Linked DNA regions of Oryctolagus cuniculus. The protein of the gene in region 1 interacts with the protein of each later gene in a biochemical or structural test. Links are inferred from orthologs where the notes say so. Each region holds a gene or a part of one and is shown in the gene's direction. Other genes may lie near its edges.

Region 1 (4,462 bases):
GGCGGAGGGGGCGGGCGGCGGGATGCGGGCGTCTCAGGTGTGTTCATTCATCCGCGTCCCCGTGGAGAGGCCGGCGCGCCGAGCGTGTCCGGGGCTCCGGAGACTCGGGGCCTGCGCTCCCGCCGGCTGACAGCCTTCTGCTGGGCTTCCCCGCGCCGGGGTGGGCTGGAGGCAACCTCCGCGCCCACCTCGCTGCCTCTCGACCTGGCTGCCGGGATCGGCGGTGGCCATTCACGATGGAAGGAGCAGGAGGCTTCAGGTCCTTTGCTTCCTTTGGTGGGGGGAGACGTGCAGTCGAATTCTGCATGCCGGTGCGTCCGCTTTGCCAGCCGCCGGCGCACGCCTGCTGCCTCCCGGCAGACAGAATGAATCACGCTGTTGTGTGGCTACAGAAGAGCAGAGGGGATCCCGGTGAGCGTGGCCCCGGCGTGTTCTGGGTGAGCCCTTGGATTTTGCGTAGCAAACACGGAGCGCTGGGATGCCCCTGTAGTCGCAGGGCCGACCTGCCGAAATGGCTCGAATCAATTTCGCCTCTCCCAGGGACATCATGGAACCTCCGCCTCCGCGCCCCGGGCCCCGGGCGCGCCTCGCCTCTCCGGAGTGAATGAAGGCTTAGCTGGCTCCTCTCCCCTTGCCGTTTGGGCTCCTCTACTTAGGTTCAGTTCTGCGTCTGTGTTGGGAACGTGGCTTGGGGGTGACTGAAAGAGAGAGGGGGCGACTTGAAGTAGGGTGGGCCGTAGAGGGGGCGCAGCCGTCGCCGCGGTGACAGGAAGCGCATGACGGACGCCCGGAGACTCCATATCTACTGCCCGTAGCGACGTGGAGGAGGTAGAGGCGGAGGGGGTGTGTGTGGGCTCTGCGGGGGGGGGGGGGGTGGGGGAGCAATTTTCTGCCCCACCCTCTTGATGCTGCCTTAAATAGCTGATGTCTCCCTGTGGCCTGGGAAAGGAGGGAGGGGTTGGTCTGTTGGCACCTCTGCCCTGGGCACTGTTGGGGTAGATGGATAGGAAAGGGTTAGTTCTCCAGGGGTTGCTGGGAGCACATTTCTCAGCGGGAGGGTCCCAAGACTGCAGACCCGGGCTGCCGGGAATTAGCAACTGAAATGCAATGGGCCGTACCCTGTTGGGGTGTAGCCGTGGGAGGGTATTGTGGTCCTCCACCAACACCCACCCCTGCTGGCCCTTTCCCCCCTGACCTGCTCTTTGGTTGTAGTTGGAGAGTTTCTGCAAACTTTTCTGAAGATAATGGGATTATTGGGGGCTGAAGGGGGAGTAGGATTTATTGAGAAGGAGGAGCCAACACTTCTCACTGGCAAGACAAAGAGCTGTCCACTCTCCCTTCTCTTCCCCCTCCTCTCCTCTCCAATCCGGAGAGGTCAATCCAGAGAGCCGAGTCTGGGGTTTTCTTTGCAGAGAATTGAAAGGGCAGAGCCCAGGAAAGAAAGCTTTTATTGTGCAGCACTGGTAATCCTCTGGTTGTCTAAATGGAGCTCTGGACCCTTCCCTGACGTGGAAATAGATTTGCTGTAGAGGGCACTCACTGTGTAGTTTAGGATTTAACCTGTTTCTGAAAAAGGAACAGATGGCCTCCCAAAGCTTTGGTGGAGGCGCTCTGGACCAGAGGCAGGGCAGCTGGCTTTGCTCCTGCCCACCAGTCTTCCCTGGGCTCGTGCCTTCCCATCACTCTCCGGGCCTGTGTCCTTGTTGGTAAGGTGGAGGACTTCCGATAGATCATTTTCAGGGTTCCTGACAGCGCCACTGCTCTTAGATTCACAAGTGCAGCTTGTGATGGCGTTGTTAGGCTCTTTCTTGGCATGAAGGAAACTAGTACTTGGGCTTGTTGGATTCAGATTCACCTTTCCCTTGATTTGTGTGATTGTGAGGTTTTACCATATGTGAATAATTCAGAGCTAGAATGGCCCCGGGCAGAGGCACAGACCTCAGAGTGGGTGATTTTCTGGGGTGGTGGTGGGGGGGGAGGGGTGGGATGACAGATTGCTAAGGGAAGGGAGTTTTCTGTAATTCTTCCTGGTATGTTGAACCCATTTTATTTATGGTTATGCAGCTGTACATTTAGAGTGTGATCATTGGAAGAAACCTCTGTGGTTTCCAGGTGCACTTCCTTCACTGAGGAATCTGAGAGCTTGGGGCATTGGCCTGTTTGCCCAAGGTCACAGAGCCAGCAAGATGCAGAGTTGGGGTAGGAGCCCAGTGAATAGATTCTAGGTCCTGTGTTCCAGATATGTCTCTGAGAAGGATTATCCCGAGATGGGGCAGAGAAAAATGAGGAGGAAATAGAGGCAGAGAAGTTGGAGAAACAGACCAGAGAAGGTGGGAGCTGGAGACGGGACGCGTGGGAAAGCCAAGCTCTGAGCAGAATCAGCTGTGAGGTGGAGGGCATTTCTGCCGCCCTCGGAGTGGAATAAGGAGCGGCTTGGCTGAGGCCAGGGTGCAGAGGGGCCAGCTGAGAGTCCCGCCTGGGCCCGAGACGGACCTGGAGTCCCTGTGGTCTCTCCTGGTGACCCTCTGATTTCAGAGTATGCTGGAGGCTGCTTCGGAGGCCTGTGGCTGAGGACAAGCAGGATCTGGACATGTGGGAGGCAGCTATGCCAGCGGGATGCTGGCGAATGCTGAGGGGTCCCAGTTCTGCTGAAGCTCCCCCCAACCTTTAATGCAAAACTACAGCAAAGTTTTCCATGACATTTCTGTTTGATGAAAGCAGCATTTTCTCCTCTGTCGTTCATGGGTGCTTTGTACATTTTATGAGTTGGCGATTCATGGACTCCCTTTCCAGAGATGTCTGGAGATGACTGCTTTGCTGAATTGGAGCTCATTTTGGGGGAAGCCTCTGGCTTATGACCTGAGCTAAGCCTCATAATGTTTCAGTGGGCAATTCAATAGCTGTGAACAGTGGTTAAGCGGAGCATGAGCCATTCAAAGGCCAGGATAAAAGGTGATAAGACTTTGAAGTCTATAGCCCAAGCCCTGAGCTGGCAATGAATAGTACTTTTCTTTGGCCAATTTAGGAAGTGTCTTATGGATCCTTGGTTGCTCTTGCTTTTTGTCTGCGGTGGGCCCATTGTCTGTTCCTGTGTTTTGCTGCCTGTCTTCCTTTTCTATTGTTTCGCTCCTCTATCCATTTCTTTCTCTCTCCTCCCTTGTATGTTTCTCCTAGCTCCCCTGCCCGTCCTTTCTTTACTATTGATGATACAGCTTTGTAGTGTGTTTTAATGCGTTTATTGCACCATTAAAGTTTCACGTTCTCTGTTCTTAATTTAAAATCACCGTTCAGTCTTTTTGAATGTGTATGTGTTTTACACACAAAATAAGCAAGACAAACAAACCAAACCCAATTAAATTGCTTTTTATTTCCATGTGGTCTTTCATTGATTTTTCCCCCCTTTTCTTTTGTGGTCAGTAGTAGCTCTTCATAAAAAGACAAAATTTCCTAGGTCTCTGTCATGTGGTTATTGTTTTTACAACAAAAACAGCTACCATAATAGAAAAAGTTTCCACTCTTCTATTGTGAGCCACAAGGGACACCCTTTCCCAAGAGATGTGCCCTATTTTATGACTTCCTCCCTGGAAGGGGTGTCTTTAATATGTTCTCCAGCAGGAGCCGTGCTCTGAGGGGTGAGGATGCTTTTGGTGGAGATGGGGCTTTGGAGCAGGCTGTGGCCAAAAGAGTGTGCCTGGGAAGAATTTAGACTGATGGCTCCTCTTTGTTTCCCCAGGCTGAGCTAACCCAGGTGGCTGTAACAGCACCCAGACCTCTTTGGGAGAGAACGAGGTGCTTTCTAGTTAGTGCTGGGTTGGGACTGTGAGGCGTCTTGTGTTCACCCTGGAGGGTGGTGTGAAGTGCAGACGCTGTAATGGGTCTATGCTGAACAACCATTGTCATATATATTTTTTACAAGAAAACTTTTTTAAAGATTTATTTGAAAAGCAGAGTATTTTTTGCTGCCTGTCAAAAGAGGTAGAAGCAGAGAGAGAGAGAACGTGAGCAAGCGAGGTCTTCCATCCGTTGGTTCACTCCCCAGATGGCCGCAACAGCCTGAGCTGAGCTGATCCAAAGCCAGGAGTTAGGAGCTTCTTCCGGTCTCCCACGTGGGTGCAGGGGTCCAAGCACTTAGGCCATTTTCTGCTTATTCAAGCCACAGTAGAGAGCTGGATCAGAAGTGGAGCAGCCGGAACTAGAACGAGTGCCCGTATGGGATGCCGGCACTGTAGGCGGTGACTTTTGCCTGCTACACTACAGCGCCAGCCCTCATTGTCATATCTTTCAGACTCCGATTAATTACAGAGAAGGCTGAGTCTTGACGCGCAGGGGTCTACAAGTAGGTCGGTGTCTGAAGTGGGTCTCCCATGCAAGAAATCGCCGTGAAGACTCCAGTTTTTCTATTAAAAATTCACATGCATTTTGTATTCTTTCTAAAAACGTCTGTGCTGGTTTTAGTATAAAA
Region 2 (4,496 bases), on another chromosome or scaffold:
GAGTCGCCAGGACCCGCCCAATCCTCGGGCGTACATAAGGAGCCCCGCGCGCTGCCGGCCAGCACTCGGCTCCACGCTGCACACTGCGCTATGTGTCACTCTCGCAGCTCGCTCTCCACCATGGCCGTCCTGCCAGCCCCGACCCCTGCCCCCTCCACCAGCCCGGGACACCGGCGGGGCTCTGGGCCTGAGATCTTCACCTTCGATCCTCTCCCGGAGCCGGCGGTGGCACCCGCCATGCGCGCCCTCGCTTCTCGCGGGCACAAGAGGAGAAGCCGCAGGGTTCTGTACCCTCGAGCGGTGAGTGTCTCCGGAGTGGGCAGCCTGGGGGAGGGGGGCGCGCTGCCCTGGTGCGGCTGGGGAACCACCGGACGCCAGGCTCTTGATCTGACCCGTCCCTTCTGTCTGTCCTTCCTCAGGTCCGGCGCCAGCCGCCAGCCGAAGAGCCGAATCCCGCCAAGAGACTCCTCTTTGTGCTGCTGACTATAGTGTTCTGCCAGATCCTGATGGCCGAAGAGAATATGTCGGCGCCCCTGGTCCCGGAGGACGCCCCCAGCGCCGAGTTCCCGGCGCCCACGCCGGCGCCCCCTGTCCTCGAGCCCTTCAATCTGACCTCGGAGCCCTCGGACTACGCTTTGGACTTCAGCACTTTCCTCCAGCAACATCCAGCCGCCTTCTAACTACACATCCCCCAGAAGAATCTGAAAAACCCAACCCACACCAGACGTAGCTGGTGCACAAGAGCGTATCCCAAACTGGGACTTCCAAGGCAACTCAAACTCAACACTACAGCCAAGGCGCCAGCCGGGGCCCGGGCGAGCCCACGCAGGCCGCCTGCAGGTGCCCGGCTGGACTCCTCATTCGTATTTATATGTATTTATATGTCCTCCTAGGTGATGGAGGGACGTATGTAATATTTATTTTAATTTATGCAAGGGCGCGAGATCCGCCCCCTCTGCTGTAAACGCAGGTCTTTTGGTATTTATTGGACTTCGTGGGGTTGGTGGAGGCAGAGCGGGAGGGGGGTGGTGGTGGGTCGTGTCTTTAGTGGGTGACACCTTGCGCTCTCCAGCGTCTCAACCCCGCCGGTCTGCGGTGCGAGGCTTCGGGGAACTGCTGGGAATGAGGTCTGGGGCCGTCAACCTCCTCCAGGTTGCCCCTAAGGGGCGGCTGTCGGGGTCGCCCGGTATGTTCTGTGAACACAAATAAACCTGATTTACCGTCTGTGACTCTCCCAGTGTGCTTCTTTCTGCAAGCGGCGAGTCCCTCCTCCCCGCCCGCGGGAGGAGCGGTGGCCGCGCCCCGCCCCGTCCCGCCCCCGGTCCCGGAGCCCCTCTTCCCGGAGTCGGAGGGCCGCCGTTGGCTGCCGGCTCTGTGGCTTCCCCAAGTCAACCGCGGCACAGCCCAAGTGTGGCAGCCTCCCTTCCTCCGGGGGTGCCGGAGCCGCGGAACTCACGTCCCGCGCACGGGGCGGAGCGCGCAGCGGCCGGGGCGGGACTGCGGCTCCCGCAGGGCGGCGGAGAGCGGGGCGCCCCGAGGGGCCGGGGCCGCAGGCGGGCGGGCGCGGACCCAGCGCGGCCTGCCGGGAAAGGGGCGGGCCGAGCGCGCGGGGCCGAGCGGGTGGGCTGGGCGGGCTCGCGTCTGCCGCAGCAGCAGGGTGCGGCCGGCTGGAGGGCCGGGCCGGGCTTGCGGGGAGACCGGTGCGCTAGCTGCCCCTGTTCGGCTCGCTGGGCGTCCGGGAAGGTAAGTGGGGGCGGGGAGAAGCAGCCCGGAGCTGCGGAGGGCAGGGGGAAAGGAGTGACCGGAAACACGGGGAAGGGTTTACGCAAGGGATTTTCAGGGTTGCGCTGGGGTAAGCCGTAGCGGACCCAGGGGTGCGGAAGGGACGGGCGTGCCCATGCGCAAAGGCGTTCTCTCCGTCTCCTCCAGCTTCCTCTTGAATCATGTTTTTCACCTGCGGCCCAAATGAGGCCATGGTGGTCTCGGGTGAGTACTGTTCTCGTCCCAGACAGCCAGTTAACCCTCCCACCCCCAAACCGCTGTGAGTCTGCTCGCTGCCGCGTCTCCCCCTTCCCTGCCAGCTCCCCAGCGCCCAGCTTCTGCCCCCTGATGGTCGTGAGAGACCCACCTGTCATGGCCAGCCGCCCCCTGCCCAAGTCCAGGCTACCTGCCCTGCGGGTCCTAAGCTGTCTCTTGGGGACTGGGGCCCGCCCCCAGCTCCTCCGTGGCCACTCACCGCCCCGCCCCTCGCAGGTTTCTGCCGGAGCCCCCCAGTCATGGTGGCTGGAGGCCGCGTCTTTGTCCTGCCCTGCATCCAGCAGATCCAGAGGTGGGTAGGAGGAGCACAGGGATGGAACGCCTTGGCTTTCAGTCTCTCTCCTGCCTTTCTTACTGTCTGTGTCTTCTCCCGCCCCTGCCCCCAGGATCTCTCTCAACACACTGACCCTCAATGTCAAGAGTGAAAAAGTCTACACTCGCCATGGGGTCCCCATCTCAGTCACTGGCATCGCCCAGGTGAGGCTATCAGAGCCTTCCCCAGAGTCTACTGCTCCATCACCTCCTAGAGGTTTCTGGCCATGAACTTCTCAACCTCTGCTTGCAAAGAAACTCGGCTGCTAGTCTGGCATGTTCCAGGCACCCCAGGCCCCTTAGAAGCATCTCTTAGAGGGCTCCCCTTTCTCTCCCTGGCTTCCTGAGGCCTCCCCCTCCGCCTCCCCTGGCTGCAGGTGAAAATCCAGGGGCAGAACAAGGAGATGTTGGCAGCTGCCTGCCAGATGTTCCTGGGGAAGACGGAAGCTGAGATTGCCCACATCGCGCTGGAGACCCTGGAGGGCCACCAGCGGGCCATCATGGCTCACATGACTGTGGAGGTGGGCCCCGGAGGGCAGTGGGGGTGCGGTGCAGAATCCATGGACCCCAAGGACCCAGCTAGTCTGCAAGAGGTGGTGGGCTGGGAGCTGAAGGTTCTTCTGCCCCCCACTCTTTCTGTTCTCCTAGGAGATCTATAAGGACAGGCAGAAGTTCTCAGAGCAAGTTTTCAAAGTGGCCTCATCAGACTTGGTCAACATGGGCATCAGCGTGGTGAGCTACACACTGAAGGACATTCACGATGACCAGGTAAAGCCAGGCTGGTGGTCCTTCCTGGCCCCCTCGCCCACCTCCCCTGCCCTTCTGAGGACTCCTGATTTCTGCCCCACCCCCACAGGACTATTTACACTCTTTGGGGAAGGCGCGGACCGCTCAAGTCCAAAAGGATGCTCGCATCGGGGAAGCAGAGGCCAAGAGAGATGCTGGGATCCGGGTGAGATTGATGGGGGCTGGGAGGGGCACAGCTGAGGGGGCTGGTGGGGCTGGGAGGGAAGCTCTCGCTTGATGACCTTCTTTCTTTCTGCCCTGACTTCTCCTGCCTGATCTCTGCTTGGACAGGAAGCTAAAGCCAGGCAGGAAAAGGTGTCCGCTCAGTACCTGAGCGAGATCGAGATGGCCAAGGCGCAGAGGGACTACGAGCTGAAGAAGGCCGCCTACGACATCGAGGTCAACACCCGCCGAGCACAGGCTGACCTGGCCTACCAGCTTCAGGTGAGAGCCTCGCACCGGGGAGGGGTCCAGGCTGCTCGCTGCCCCTTCCCCTCCTGCCCAGGCTACCACTCTCTCCTGTTCCAACTCTGATCTTCTAGTTCTCTGTTTCTCCCCACATAAGGAAACATTTAAAAGACTAACATTTCAGCTGAAAAGCAAAGAGAAGGCCAAGAAGGGAGCTGATCAATAGGGTTTGGGCCGTATGTTCGGGGCAGGTGGTGCCCTGTGAACCTGGTGGAGGGGATGAACTACAGGTAGGATCCAGCCGTGCTCCACTCACCAGTCTGTACATTCTGGAGTGGGTTTTGTTTTGTTTTGACAGGCAGAGTTAGAGAGACAGACAGAGAGAAAGGTCCTCCCTCTGTTGATTCACCCCCCAAATGGCCGCCACGGCCGGCGCGCTGCACCAATCCAAAGCCAGGAGCCAGGTGCCTCCCCCTGGTCTCCCATGTGGGTGTAGGGCCCAAGCATCTGAGCCATCCTCCACTGCACTCCCAGGCCACAGCAGAGAGCTGGACTGGAAGAGGAGCAACCGGGACAGAACCGGCGCCCCAACCGGGACTAGAACCCAGGGTGCTGGCGCCGCAGGCGAAGGATTAGCCTAGTGAGCCACGGCGCCGGCCTGGAGTGGCTTTGCATCTGCCCAGAGGAAGGAGTGCCTTGTAAGTTGCATAGGAGCACCCCATAGGCTAAACAACAGCTATCAAAGAAGGATTGGAGAAAGGAGAAAGGAGAGCCAGGCATGGAATCCTACAAAGCGTGATCTGTGCAGCCCTTGATGTCGCGAGGAGGTACAGCCCATCCTCGTTATTCAGGGCTTCCTTGGGGGAGAACCCCCGCATGTTCACTGGAAGGTGCTGGTAACCCCAGAGTCAGTACTCACAGCACATTACGGTCACGCACGCCAAGGAGTTGCC

The links.
Region 2: the proteins of SORBS1 (region 1) and FLOT1 form a complex in vitro, tested with the Homo sapiens proteins (2 studies listed by BioGRID). The link is inferred for Oryctolagus cuniculus from reciprocal best matches to the Homo sapiens genes SORBS1 and FLOT1.

What each region holds. Positions count from the first base shown.
Region 1 is NC_091446.1:34,100,348-34,104,809, forward strand, and holds the start of SORBS1 (sorbin and SH3 domain-containing protein 1), read left to right. Parts: upstream 1-1,478; 5' UTR 1,479-1,581; coding exon 1,582-1,706; intron 1,707-4,462. UniProt on the Homo sapiens protein: Plays a role in tyrosine phosphorylation of CBL by linking CBL to the insulin receptor. Required for insulin-stimulated glucose transport. Involved in formation of actin stress fibers and focal adhesions.
Region 2 is NC_091436.1:139,702,215-139,706,710, forward strand, and holds the start of FLOT1 (flotillin-1), read left to right. Parts: upstream 1-1,593; 5' UTR 1,594-1,743; intron 1,744-1,929; 5' UTR 1,930-1,943; coding exon 1,944-1,986; intron 1,987-2,253; coding exon 2,254-2,329; intron 2,330-2,423; coding exon 2,424-2,514; intron 2,515-2,726; coding exon 2,727-2,870; intron 2,871-2,997; coding exon 2,998-3,117; intron 3,118-3,205; coding exon 3,206-3,301; intron 3,302-3,426; coding exon 3,427-3,579; intron 3,580-4,496. Other genes in the region: IER3 (radiation-inducible immediate-early gene IEX-1), read left to right, coding at 91-300, 420-680. UniProt on the Homo sapiens protein: May act as a scaffolding protein within caveolar membranes, functionally participating in formation of caveolae or caveolae-like vesicles.